Arabidopsis thaliana: one gene and its partner. The protein of the gene in region 1 interacts with the protein of each later gene in a pairwise test. Each region holds a gene or a part of one and is shown on either strand. Other genes may lie near its edges.

Region 1 (5,966 bases):
TTCTGAATGTTACAAATGCATACCCCTTTCCATCACCAGAATCCTTTTCCCTCATTATCCTAACCTGTTGATATCACACCAAACTCAGCACAAGATAAATTAAATCACAACCATAGTTTAGGTAAGAAGATGTCAAATTACCTCAGTAACTTCTCCTATAGATCCACAGAAGCCCTTTAAGTCCCCTTCAGTAGCATCAGTAGGAATCCCTCCAAGATAAACCTCTGAACCATGTGGAGGAAGTGCAAGAAGTTCAACATGCCTTTTCTTTTCTTCTTCCTCTTCCGTTGCAACAGCATCCTCCTCCTCCTCCTCTTCTTCCACTTCAACCTCCTCCTCTATCTCCTCTTCTATCTCTTCAATCTCCTCCTCTTCAACTTCTTCGTATTCAACTTCCTCCTCCAGAATCTCCTCAGGATCATTGTCACCATCAAGGTCTACCCTTTCCTCAGATTCCATGGAGTCATGAGCCTCAGAAGCAGCAGTCCTCGTCCTTGACATCTTAAATATCTAGAAAAGAATGCTTGCAGTACAACTGTGGAGGAGACACAGAAGCAAGAAGCAAGTGGGGAGAGAGAATAAAACCGAGGAAAGGTTGGAAAAGAAACAATAAGAGGCCAATAGAAAAGAAGAATAAGAAGTTCGAATTGACGCTTTGCCATAATGCGGCTAAAAAGGTGACAAACAAATAGACAAAGAGAGAAGAGGGCGATGAAATGCTCAACAGGTGAAACAAAAAAAGATAAGAAACGAAATGACCCCTGAGAGCGGATAAAAACCATGATATCATAGGCCTTGGTTAGATGCAAAGAAGGTTAAAATATTCATGGCAACAAGAAAGATAAGAAGGGCTAAAGTCAAAATAGTATCTTTGCTTAGAAAACTCCAGCTCCATGTTAGAATCTCCCACAACAGACATTGTTCAGAATTTGCAAGTGATATTTTTTATGCTGCCAATCTAACCTGTTAAGAGAATCCTCAGCTTATAACTACAATTCTATTTGATTATTTCACACAAATTGACCACAATGATAGATACAACCAAGAACAACCCAATACACATACAAAGCTATAACTCAGAGAAATGTCAATCAAAGGCGTGTTTAAGCTAACTTAGCAATCATTGGAACAAAAATGAGAGAAAGATTCAGTTTTTAATTAAGATAAGAAGAGTTACACAAATCCCAATTTTGGATCCCCAACCAAAAAAAAAGATTCACGAAAGGAAACGAAGAGAGGCGCAATGAGATGAAAGAAGAAAGAGCGAGAAAGTACCTGAGAGAGCTGCCGGAAGAAAACCCTAATTTTGAGAATTACGGAGAGGATGAAGAAGTGTCTATCTTCGCGCACCTCAGGTGTTGAAAAATATGTATATGTGTATGTTGTATTGATATGACCTAAAAGATGCCTAAGCGAGACTATCAAGGAGGTGTAGTCACTTTTTATTATGATGCGACCAATCTTATATTACGGCTTATTACCGATCTTAATATACGACAAATTTGATTTTTATGCAAAAAAAACTTTCAAGTTGGATGAGAATTTGCGCCTTATATTTTTTTTACACATTGTTTTCAAAATTAACACTAGTTTTTTCTTAATTAACATGCAGTTTATACATGATCTACGTTATTTGTTAAAATCACATATGGAATAATTTCTTTAAAATTATAGTTTTACCATATACAATATGTTTTTTTTTTTATCAATTTTTAGCCAAAACTTGCCTATATAATCTAGCAAATAATACCCTAATCAATCATAATTAGTCTACGATTTTGTAAAAATGAAGCCATAAAATGTAATACAAATTTCTTACAAAAAAAAAAAGAAAATGTGGAATGAAAATATTTTTTCTTTTTGTATAAACAACTAGATTATAACCCGCGGTACACCGCGGAGACAATTATTTTTTAAAATTAGTATATATAAAAGTCTGTAAATTATATTTATCTATAAAATATTTATATTTTATAGTTTACAATTGTTATTAAGTAACATCCTTCCAAACCCGTTCTGCCAAACCCGTCCCGTTAAAAAAATTTGTAGTACACCGCTAATTTAAAAAAAAAAATTACGGGATTGCAATTATATTTTAGTTTGTCAAACAAATTTTTGTTTTAAATAGTTGTCGAAATCTAATTCAAATTTTGGAGAAATAAGATTTAGTGAACTGATAAGAAATGTATTTATGTGCGTTTTGCTCATTTTAAGGGATTGCAATTGTATTTTGGTTTGTCAAATATTTTTTGTTTTAAATAATTTCCGAAATCTAGTTCAAATTTTGGAGAAATCTGCGTGATATATGGGATTGGAATATATTTGGAATATTTTTTGTTTGTTAATCAATTTATTGCTAAAAGAAAATAAATAAATAAAAGCCAGTGGCAGCCATTGTAAATAAGTTCCAAATCTAGGATTTATTTTACAAAATGGCTGCAAAAATATATATATAGATAGGTTCACTTAATTACTTTTAATATAATAAAATCCGCACAAAATGTGAATACCTCAATTTTTCTATATCTTGGGAATTTTGAAAGACATAAGAATCAACACGAAAAATCTCAGTCTTTGACTCAGACTCCCACCGCGTAATTCCGAGCTAGGTTTCCATTTCTCCGGCGAATCGGACCTCTCTCTCGCTCTCTCTTCCAATTTCCCCTTTTTTCGTTTCCCAGGTACTGCTTCTTCCGATTCTAACATTTTTTGATCTTTTATAAAATCGGTCACATTATTCTTGATCGTATCTGCAGCGATGATTTGCAAGTAGCTTCCGCTAATAATCGCAACTCTCTGACGGATGCTATGGCAATGGGACTTATTCGTCTTCTTTCTATAGCTTTTACACTTGTTCTACTTTCAATCCTTCCTCTTCATCTCTCTCTCGCTGGTGAGTTTCCTTTCCCCGGATAAAATTGGTGATGAAATGTATTAGTTGATAGAACATTGTAATCTGAAATTGAGGTTTCGTTTTGTGTAGATGAGATAACATCTATTGAATCTGTACCTGACCTTCAGAAGCTAATGTATGTTGCTGTTGATGGGTTTCCTTGTGTACGTCTTCTCAATCTGTCTGGAGAGATTGGATGTTCAAGTAAGCTTCTTTTGGGCCTCTCAGCTACATGATTTTTATCTGTTGATGAGGTCCTCTAAGTTTTATGTTTATAAAAATACTCAGATCCTGGAATAAATAAAGTGGTGGCTCCAATCATAAAATTAAAGGACGTTAAAGATTTGGTTCAGCCACACACTATTTTGGTTACAGCTGATGAAATGGAAGATTTCTTTACCAGGCATGTCTCCTTTTTCATTTACAAAACTTTCATGACCTCTATTCGATTTTGTTAGTGATCTCTTAATTTGTGGAGTAGTGCTTTCCCACTCGCTTGTAGTTCTCATTTTGGTGTTTTATTTAACGTCAAACAAGATTTAGCTTTTGGGTGCCAAATCAGCCTTTTTGGAAAGGCAATTACATCCTTAAGAATAACGTATATCTAAGAGTTTGTTTTCATTAGTACTTGAGTATTTAAGGCAAACACTTTTAGTAATCTTCCATGACAGTGAAACAACAGATTGGAATGAGTATACCCTCTTATCACCATTTTTGAAATCTGCTAGAAATGTAGTCACTTGGTTGTTGGTGCATGGATTAGGTGTTTAGTGGAACCAGTAATTCATTGGCTTTTTCCGCTTTATTTTCATTCGACTAACGGAAAGTAGGTATACCTCCAAACACTTTACTGTAGAACCCTGCAGTCTGGCTTACTTCTGGCATTGTTCATTAGACTTGTACATCGCTTAGACACTCTATTCAGTAGAAATAACAGGACCACTCCTCTTTGTGCCTTTTCCAGGGTGTCAACTGATTTGAGCTTTGCTAGCAAAATTGGTGGTGTTCTAGTTGAATCAGGATCTAATTTCCAACAAAAGTTAAAAGGTACTATGTCCATCCACATATTTATGATTCTGTCAACTTGAATGGCTAATTCCTTAAATTGTCTTGAGTTCTTAATTCCCTTAAAAATAGTACTTGATACTTCTTATCTATGTTGATGGCGTTAGTGTTTCTTTCTTCTTTATTGTAGGGTTTTCTCCTGATAAAAGGTTTCCTCAAGCCCAGTTTTCACCCTATGAAAACGTTGAGTACAAATGGAATTCAGCTGTACGGTAGCGTAAACTCTGTCTGGATCTTTGAAATTACTTCTTCCTGTCAACTCTTTTATAGTGGGTTGGAAATTGTTTCAATCAGTTATCACCAAATCCATAGTCAAGCATTTCCGAGTTATATGCTGTTTTCTTCTGGAACTAAACTTAACTACCTGCTAACACACAAATACCATAAATCCTTTTCTTATGGTATAATTTTACTGGAGGAATGCATGTATCTGCCTAGATGATCACTTATAAAGAAGTTCAAAAATCTGTTGCATATTTATCTACCTTAATTAAAAGATAGTTCCTCTTATTGTTATCTACGGAGAAAAAATGATTTTGATTCTTATGAGTAGTTGCAGGCGATAAGTCTCTAGCCATTGACCATTGCTAAAAAATGATTATTTGCAGGCATCAAGCATCATGTGGAGAAATTATAATTTTCCTGTGTACTTATTGTCAGAAAGTGGCATATCAGCTGTGCATGAGGTAATCCTTCAAACTTGCATTCTTTTGCAAATTTTAAATGTGTCTATTTGTGTTGTCAGAAAAGCGAAATTGATGACATTTTTAGAAATATGAGGAAATGAACTCAAGGCTTAGAGAGGCATTATGACTGTTGGTCACTCTTAAGAGCAGTATTGCTTGATGAAAATATGGCTGTAAAATGATGCATGAGATATGTATCTCCAAGGTCATATGAAATGAATACTCCTAGTTTAAACTGAATTAGTCTGCAGAAATTTTTCTAAGCATTGATTACCCATTTTAAATAAGAATACAAATTTGGTCCTGGAATGTTTGTCTCATCCAGCTGAAGGCAACTCCCAGCTGCATCTGTAGATTTCAAATGCATGTTGCTTTCCATAGCCTGTAATTGGACTCAACCATAGCCTTTCCATTTGTCTTGTGGTAGTTGCCTTTAAACTGCTGGTCAACTATGTCATTCTATAGTATGTTGTTGTCCTTACCAGATGAGGTTCTGTCAAGAAGCTAGCTTTATGTTTCTGTTGTGTTGGTAGCAATCTAAAGTGTATAGTTTATGTGGATAGCTTCACTTTTTTCAGGTTATCGACTACATATTTACATCCTATTATATTTGCGCAGATCCTTTCCAAGAAAAAGATGAAGCATGGAACATATACCAGTGATGTTGCTGAATTCAATATGGTTATGGAGGTATATGGCTTTAGCAATCTTGCTCACTGGAACGTTAACCAGCTTTATGGATCTTCACTTTGACTTAGATTATGACACCCAATTCTCTATTTTTTGTATTAGACTACCAAAGCTGGAACACACAATTCGGAGGCTTGTTTGCAGGAGGGAACTTGCCTCCCATTGGGCGGATATAGGTAAAGATTTAGGTCTTTATTACTGTCTGATCTAATGACATATGAAAACCTTTTAAAGGATACGTTTCGTTTTCTAACAACTTTGTTATGAAGGACAGTGTTTGGTCCTCGCTTCCACCAATCAGTGTTTCGTCTTCCAACAATCGCAAACCAGTTGTGCTGACTGTGGCCTCCATGGATACTGCATCATTTTTCCGTGACAAAAGTTTTGGTGCAGATTCACCAATATCTGTGAGAACTTGCTATTTTCTGCTTTTGGGTTGATCTAGAATACATTTATTTACTCTTCTTATTCTTCTTTTCCCGATTTATTGCTCAACACGTTCTCCTTCTTTCAGGGTCTGGTAGCTCTTCTAGGAGCAGTTGATGCTCTTTCTCGAGTTGATGGTATTAGTAATCTCAAAAAACAGGTGCCAGTGTACCATGTGATTTAGTGTTATTTCACGCTTTTTGTTG
Region 2 (5,966 bases), on another chromosome or scaffold:
ACCAAAGTGAGCTACTCGAAGTGTTACCAAACCGGTTCAACGTCATCCTCGATGGCTCCATGTGCCATTCGGATAAATCCAAGTTCTTCTCAATCTCGTCGAGCACGGCTCTACCTCCCGCGTGGATACAGAAATGCTCGAAAGCTAGCTTGAAATCAGGAATGTAAGGCTTTATTTTCTTGACTTTGAAGACTTTTCGGGCCACAAGAGTCGCGAAAAAGAGAAGTTGTTCGGACATTGGTAGAACTAGTGGTCCGAGAGTTGTGATGTTTGTCTTGAGAGCTTCTCCAGCTATCGCCATTAGGTTTTTAGAGAGGGACACTCCGATTTTGCCGGTTTCTTCTGCGTTGTTGTCTTCTCGTTGGTAAACACAGCCAAATGCGTTGTCATCAGCTCCTTTGTGGGTACGGACGGTATGGATGAGCTGATATTTTGAACGGCTGCGATCAGAGGAGCGGTTCGAGAGAAGTACCGCGGCTCCGCCCATACGGAAGATACAGTTAGATAGAAGCATTGATCGGTCGTTGCCTAAGTACCAGTTTAGGGTTATGTTCTCTGTGCTCACCACTAGTGCGTATGAGTTTGGTTGCACCTGCATTATTGTCACAAATTTATTATTACTCTCAGTAAAATATGTATACAATAAATAAAAATAAAAACATTTTCGAATCTTAGAAAATTCGAACAATGGTTGTGACTAGACAACCGTTATACGGTGGACATTAAACACAAATATATAAATGCAGAGGTATGTGTGTGCATATGTCTCAAGTGTAAGTAAATTCTATTCAAGTAGCCCAACATTATGTTGTAGCACATTTATGACCTTTGGTTCAATTTGCCAACCACATTAGAGATTCGAGAAACTTGCAAGCACGTGTTTCCACGTTCGCTTCTTAGATCTACAATTTAATTATGTTTGTAAAAGTGAATGTAAATTTGTAATTATGCATCAATCCTAAATTCCTAATGCATGAACTATTTTCGTAATAAATGAATACTTTCGAGAAAGGAAAAAATATGTAATCAACCTTTATAAAATAAAACATTGATCATTTAAAACAACATTATGGTTTTTCCATTTTCACAACTACCACCAACCTAAAGACTACAAAGCCTGTCACTGTCAGAATTTTCATAGACACGTGACTTTTACACGTAAATTTGGCCTTTATGCTTTCATACAACTCATATAGAATAAAGTTGCATCCATATTAAGTCGGCAACTAAAAACCAATCCAGTGACTACATTTTGATCAAATAAGTCATAGAAATATTATAGCACGTATTAATGACATGAAAGCTAAGTCAATTAATCAAAAAATCTAGCTGGTAAGTGTACTAAATGCTTTATTAAGTGACACCAAGACGCAAATAATTAAATTTTGAAAGGCAAATTCTAGCTGGTAGTTCTATTGAATTCCCCTAAATAATTTCTAAAATCATGAGCTGTCATTAGCCCTTTCAAATTTTTAAAGTCGAATAAGAAAAAGTCCTAGATTTTATTCTTCCACGAATCACGACGACTCATAACAGTCTAAAAGACCAAACCGGATTAAACCAAACCGAATAATAAGATATTTTACCTGAAGCATCTGTTTAGCGAGATCAATGGAGATAAGGCCAGCACTACATCCCATTCCACCAAGATTATAGCTCAAAATGTTGCCTCTAAGCTTATACTTATTCACAATCATAGCAGAAAGTGACGGTGTTGGATTAAACAAGCTACAATTCACCACAAGGATTCCAATATCTTTAGGTTTCACACCGGTCTTCTCAAGAACCGCGTCAATAGCTCCGAACATAACTGTTTCTGCCTCTTTTCTCGCTTCTTCCATACAAGGATTAGGAGGAACACGAAGAAGAGCTTCAGGGAAGTAAGTTTTCTGACCTAGACCGGATCTTTCGAGGATCTTTTGTTGGAAAGCTAAGTTGTCTTCTGTGAAGATGCCTACACGTTGAGATCTGTCCATGAATGTTTCACGAGTGCAGATCAGTGAAGGGTCTGGTTTGTAACACGAGAAGTCGAGGAGGAAGACACGGCGGGGACGGGTGGTGAAGTAAGCGGTGGAGAGAGAGATTAAGAGTGCGGTGGCGAGTGTGGCGGAGAGGAAATGGAAACGGAGTGTGTTGTAGAGGAGAGAGAGGTCGTTGATGGTGAAAGAAGAGAGGTTAGCGATTGTTGCGGCGAGGAGAGGAAGGAGGAGGATGTAGAGAGCGTTGGAGATTAGGTAGTGGTAACCGAGTTTTACGTATTTGAGACGGACGGATAATAGAAAGTTTGGGAGGTTGTTTGGGTTAGGGTTTGGCTCGGCGTTTGTGACATGGACCGGGACTGGCCGGTGAGGTTGGTTTTGGTTATGGCTCATCGTGAGAATGAGCAAATGTTTAGGATGAAGAATGAGATGAGGATTTGGAGAGAAGTGTCAAGTGAAAGATTTGTTTCTCTCTCTCAAGAGTTGTTTGTGTTGTGTGAGAGAGAGAGAGAGGAGAAAAGAGAATGGCCTAAAAAGTTGGAGAAAATTTGAGAATTTAATGGGAAATTTTTGAGTGAGAGAGAAAGAGAGAGGGAGAGAGAGACTTAGCTATTGAATGTAGTTAGGGGAAATGGGAAATATTTAAGGAAAAAATATGGGTTTTTAAGAAATATACAAAGAGAATAATGTTAGCAAATAAATTGTTCAAACTAGTAAGACATCAAAAACATTTTCTGTTCAATCTAGTCAAGCAATTTTGTTTAGGACAGTACTATAATTTTTTAGTCCATGTATTATTCAATATTATTATTTATATTATTTCTATTTTTTAGAAATGGTAATTTAGAATTAAATTGTGAAATTGTTTTCATTTTCCAAATAAAAAGGCTATTAACATTAAAAGAAAAATGAAAACATGTTAACAAATGAAAAATCGAAACTAAAACTGGATAAAATAAGTTTTGTATTAGAGAGGGAAGATGCAACTACCCCAACGAAGCTTTTAATGTTTTTAGACAGTTGAGATTTGACACCTAAGAGACGGCGATGACTTTTATCCCAATTGGGGGCTTTTAATTTGGCCGCGTTCTATGCAATTTACTCTTTTACCCTTTCGTTGACCCGTTATCTTCGAAACTACCCTCTTTATGTGCACAACTTGAAGACAGTTACATTTTACGTGGCCGTGTGAACTTGTGTAAATTAATCATATTATATGATTCATATATAGATGGAAAATTAATAAGTGAACCGAAATAGAAGTTTGTTGAACCAAATATGAGTAATTGTGTGGGTTATTGCCATTAAAACTAGTCCATCCATTTCATGTTCTTTTGAATGAAATTGAGCAAGTCTTATAAATACCACTTAAAAAGGTTTTTGTAAACAAAAAATGGCATACATGTTCTAATTGGTCTACTAATACCATTTTTAATCCAATGTAACTTAACTAACCATCCCTTAAGTGAAAATTAATCAGATAGTTAATGTCATATTTTTTATGTTTCAAATTAAGGATGTTCAAGATTTTTATACAGTTGGATATCAATTATAAAGAGTCCCATTTCAAAACCCGCGACTAGATGATGAGCGGAATCATCGACCGGCACAGTCCCAATTCAAAACCATTTTGCAGATAGAGAATCATACATTCTCTGTCACTCTTCTATATTAATACCGGTTGACATTGCAGCTGCAAACAAAGAAGAAGTTTGAGTTGTGGTGGATATTTTCAGAAAAACCAATTAGATATAAGATTGAGGATTTTGCTCATCATAAAATAATCTATAACTTAAATGTAGTCAAAGGAAAAACATTGCACTTTCTTTATCGCCTACTACTATATTTATTGTGAATAAATTTTAAGATAATACAAAAAAAACTATTGAACCTCATCAGAAACTAATTCACACTTGATTTTTCCTTTTTGACCAAACGAATCAAGAAAAACATTGCATTTTCACATATGTTATATCATTATCAAAGAGGTTGTAATTTCATAAACAAAAGTCTATATTTTATTTTTTACATTCTTTTTTCGTTAAAAGGCTTATAAAAGTCTATTATTTACACTTTACAACATAGTATTCACTTAAATATTTTCATTATTCTATCTAAAACTAATTTGTATATGAAATCATAACAAACAATTAAAAATACAGTTCAAAACACCAAAATTTGCCCCAAAAAAAGAAATCCAAAATTTGATAATCGTTTCCGATCGAGTTCTATTTGACTTTGTATTGACTTGCTTTGGTCTGGTCTCATCTTTAAATACCACGTTCTAACCATTCTTCATGATTTTATTCCCGCGGCTTTGGTGAAAAACGTTTAATTTTCTTAAAATGATGTTGTAGACAAGAAAACTTTGTGTCATTATCAAGAAAATAAGAAATGATGCCATTCTACCAACTCTGAACTTGAAAGCCGAAGAATCGTCACAGATAGTTTTTGTCGTAGATGTGTCATAACGAGAGAAACTACGGATCATTTGTTCTTTACGTGTCCACACGCTCGCCAAATATGGAGAGCTTCGAACATTCCCCTTCCGAGTCTATCAAATCCCCAGGTGCATTATGAAACAAAAATTAAAGAGATTTATGAATTTCATAAAAATGCAGGACAACATACAATGCAAGGGCAGCTACCTATCTCGATCCTTTGGAGAATATGGAAAAGCCGTAATAAGCTAGTGTTCCAACGAAAACAGAACGATTGGTGGAGAGATATCAGAGATGCTACAAATGAAGCGGAAGAATGGATCACAAATGGCTTATGTGCGCAAGTTCCCACTCCGAGTACGACTAATGGCACAACTAGGCAGTTTCAGAGTCAGTGGCAAAAACCACATATGGGATGGATTAAGTGTAATTACGATGGCAGCTTTGTGAATCGAGTTCGTGGCTCTACGGCAGCTTGGATAATTAGAGATGATAACGGCGTGTTCAAAGGGGCTGCTCAAGCGACAGGTGCGACCGTTTCCTCAGCCTTTGAAGCAGAATGTCAAAGCCTAATTCTTACCATGCAACAATTATGGATAAGAGGCTTTAGAAAAGTAATACTTGAAGGCGACTGCAAGCTCCTAGTCAATGTTCTGAATGGAAGAGGCTCAAGATTTGATGCTATCAATTGGATCCATGAAATCAAAGTTTGGAGAAATAAGTTTGACGCAATCAAGTTCACGTGGTCACACAGATCAACAAATCAACCTGCTGATATTTTAGCGAAAAACCAGAAACATGCTCTGTCTTCATACATAGTTCATAGCTTTATCCCATTGTGTATCTCAAATGCTCTGTTTTCAGACTACGTTTCCTAAGTAATAAAAATGAAGTTCGTGTTAAAAAAAAAAAAAAAAAAATGATGCCATTAACTCATATCATAAGTTCATAACCCAAAACTAAACTATCGTTTCATGTGTACTAACTACTTGTGAGATTTTCACAAGTCAATAACATGCGTGTGAATCTTTAACGCGTGCGTGATAAGTTTTGTATTTATATCATCATTTGGTATGTGTCAACACACAATTTGGGGAGAGTTTGTGTGGTAAGTAATGCAAAAATATATGTTTGTTATATAACATAGAACTGATTCTAATTGCTAAGAAAATTCCTACCAAACGAAGCAATTACGTTCAACAATTATTCTTAGAAGTTTGAAGAAACCATTCTCTACCACTCCACAATTCTTTCTTCTTCATTGGTTTTACAAATTCTACCTTTTCAAGTCATTCTTAAATCTTAAATAAACAAAACCAGTTTGAATTTTTTTTCGTAGTTGGTAGAAAAGTGTGTTCCAAAATGAGTTCTTTAGAAAAAAAATATTTCCAAAATGAATTATGATTTTTAATCTCTCTGCACCTTTAGTTATATCGGTAAGATATCTCAAATTCTTCAAGCAAATTATGGTACATATTTTCTATAGATAATATTGAAGAAAAAAGGAGCTTAACTAGTGTTGATTTCAACTATCGGAATCAAATAT

Evidence for each region. The genes of interacting proteins can lie anywhere in the genome.
Region 2: the proteins of AT3G52640 (region 1) and KCS20 interact in a protein complementation assay, tested with the Arabidopsis thaliana proteins (one large-scale study listed by BioGRID).

Annotation. Positions count from the first base shown.
Region 1 is NC_003074.8:19,517,133-19,523,098, reverse strand, and holds the start of AT3G52640 (Zn-dependent exopeptidases superfamily protein), read left to right. Parts: upstream 1-2,554; 5' UTR 2,555-2,681; intron 2,682-2,756; 5' UTR 2,757-2,808; coding exon 2,809-2,893; intron 2,894-2,983; coding exon 2,984-3,097; intron 3,098-3,181; coding exon 3,182-3,296; intron 3,297-3,857; coding exon 3,858-3,940; intron 3,941-4,088; coding exon 4,089-4,165; intron 4,166-4,566; coding exon 4,567-4,644; intron 4,645-5,262; coding exon 5,263-5,334; intron 5,335-5,436; coding exon 5,437-5,510; intron 5,511-5,608; coding exon 5,609-5,741; intron 5,742-5,848; coding exon 5,849-5,920; intron 5,921-5,966. Other genes in the region: AT3G52660 (RNA-binding (RRM/RBD/RNP motifs) family protein), read right to left, coding at 1-64, 142-501. UniProt on the Arabidopsis thaliana protein: Probable subunit of the gamma-secretase complex, an endoprotease complex that catalyzes the intramembrane cleavage of integral membrane proteins such as Notch.
Region 2 is NC_003076.8:17,582,309-17,588,274, reverse strand, and holds the start of KCS20 (3-ketoacyl-CoA synthase 20), read right to left. Parts: upstream 2,753-5,966; 5' UTR 2,373-2,752; coding exon 1,587-2,372; intron 593-1,586; coding exon 1-592. Other genes in the region: AT5G43755 (non-LTR retrolelement reverse transcriptase-like protein), read left to right, coding at 4,503-4,548, 4,715-4,948, 5,048-5,298. UniProt on the Arabidopsis thaliana protein: Mediates the synthesis of VLCFAs from 22 to 26 carbons in length (e.g. C22, C24, C26). Functionally redundant with KCS2 in the two-carbon elongation of C22 fatty acids that is required for cuticular wax and root suberin biosynthesis.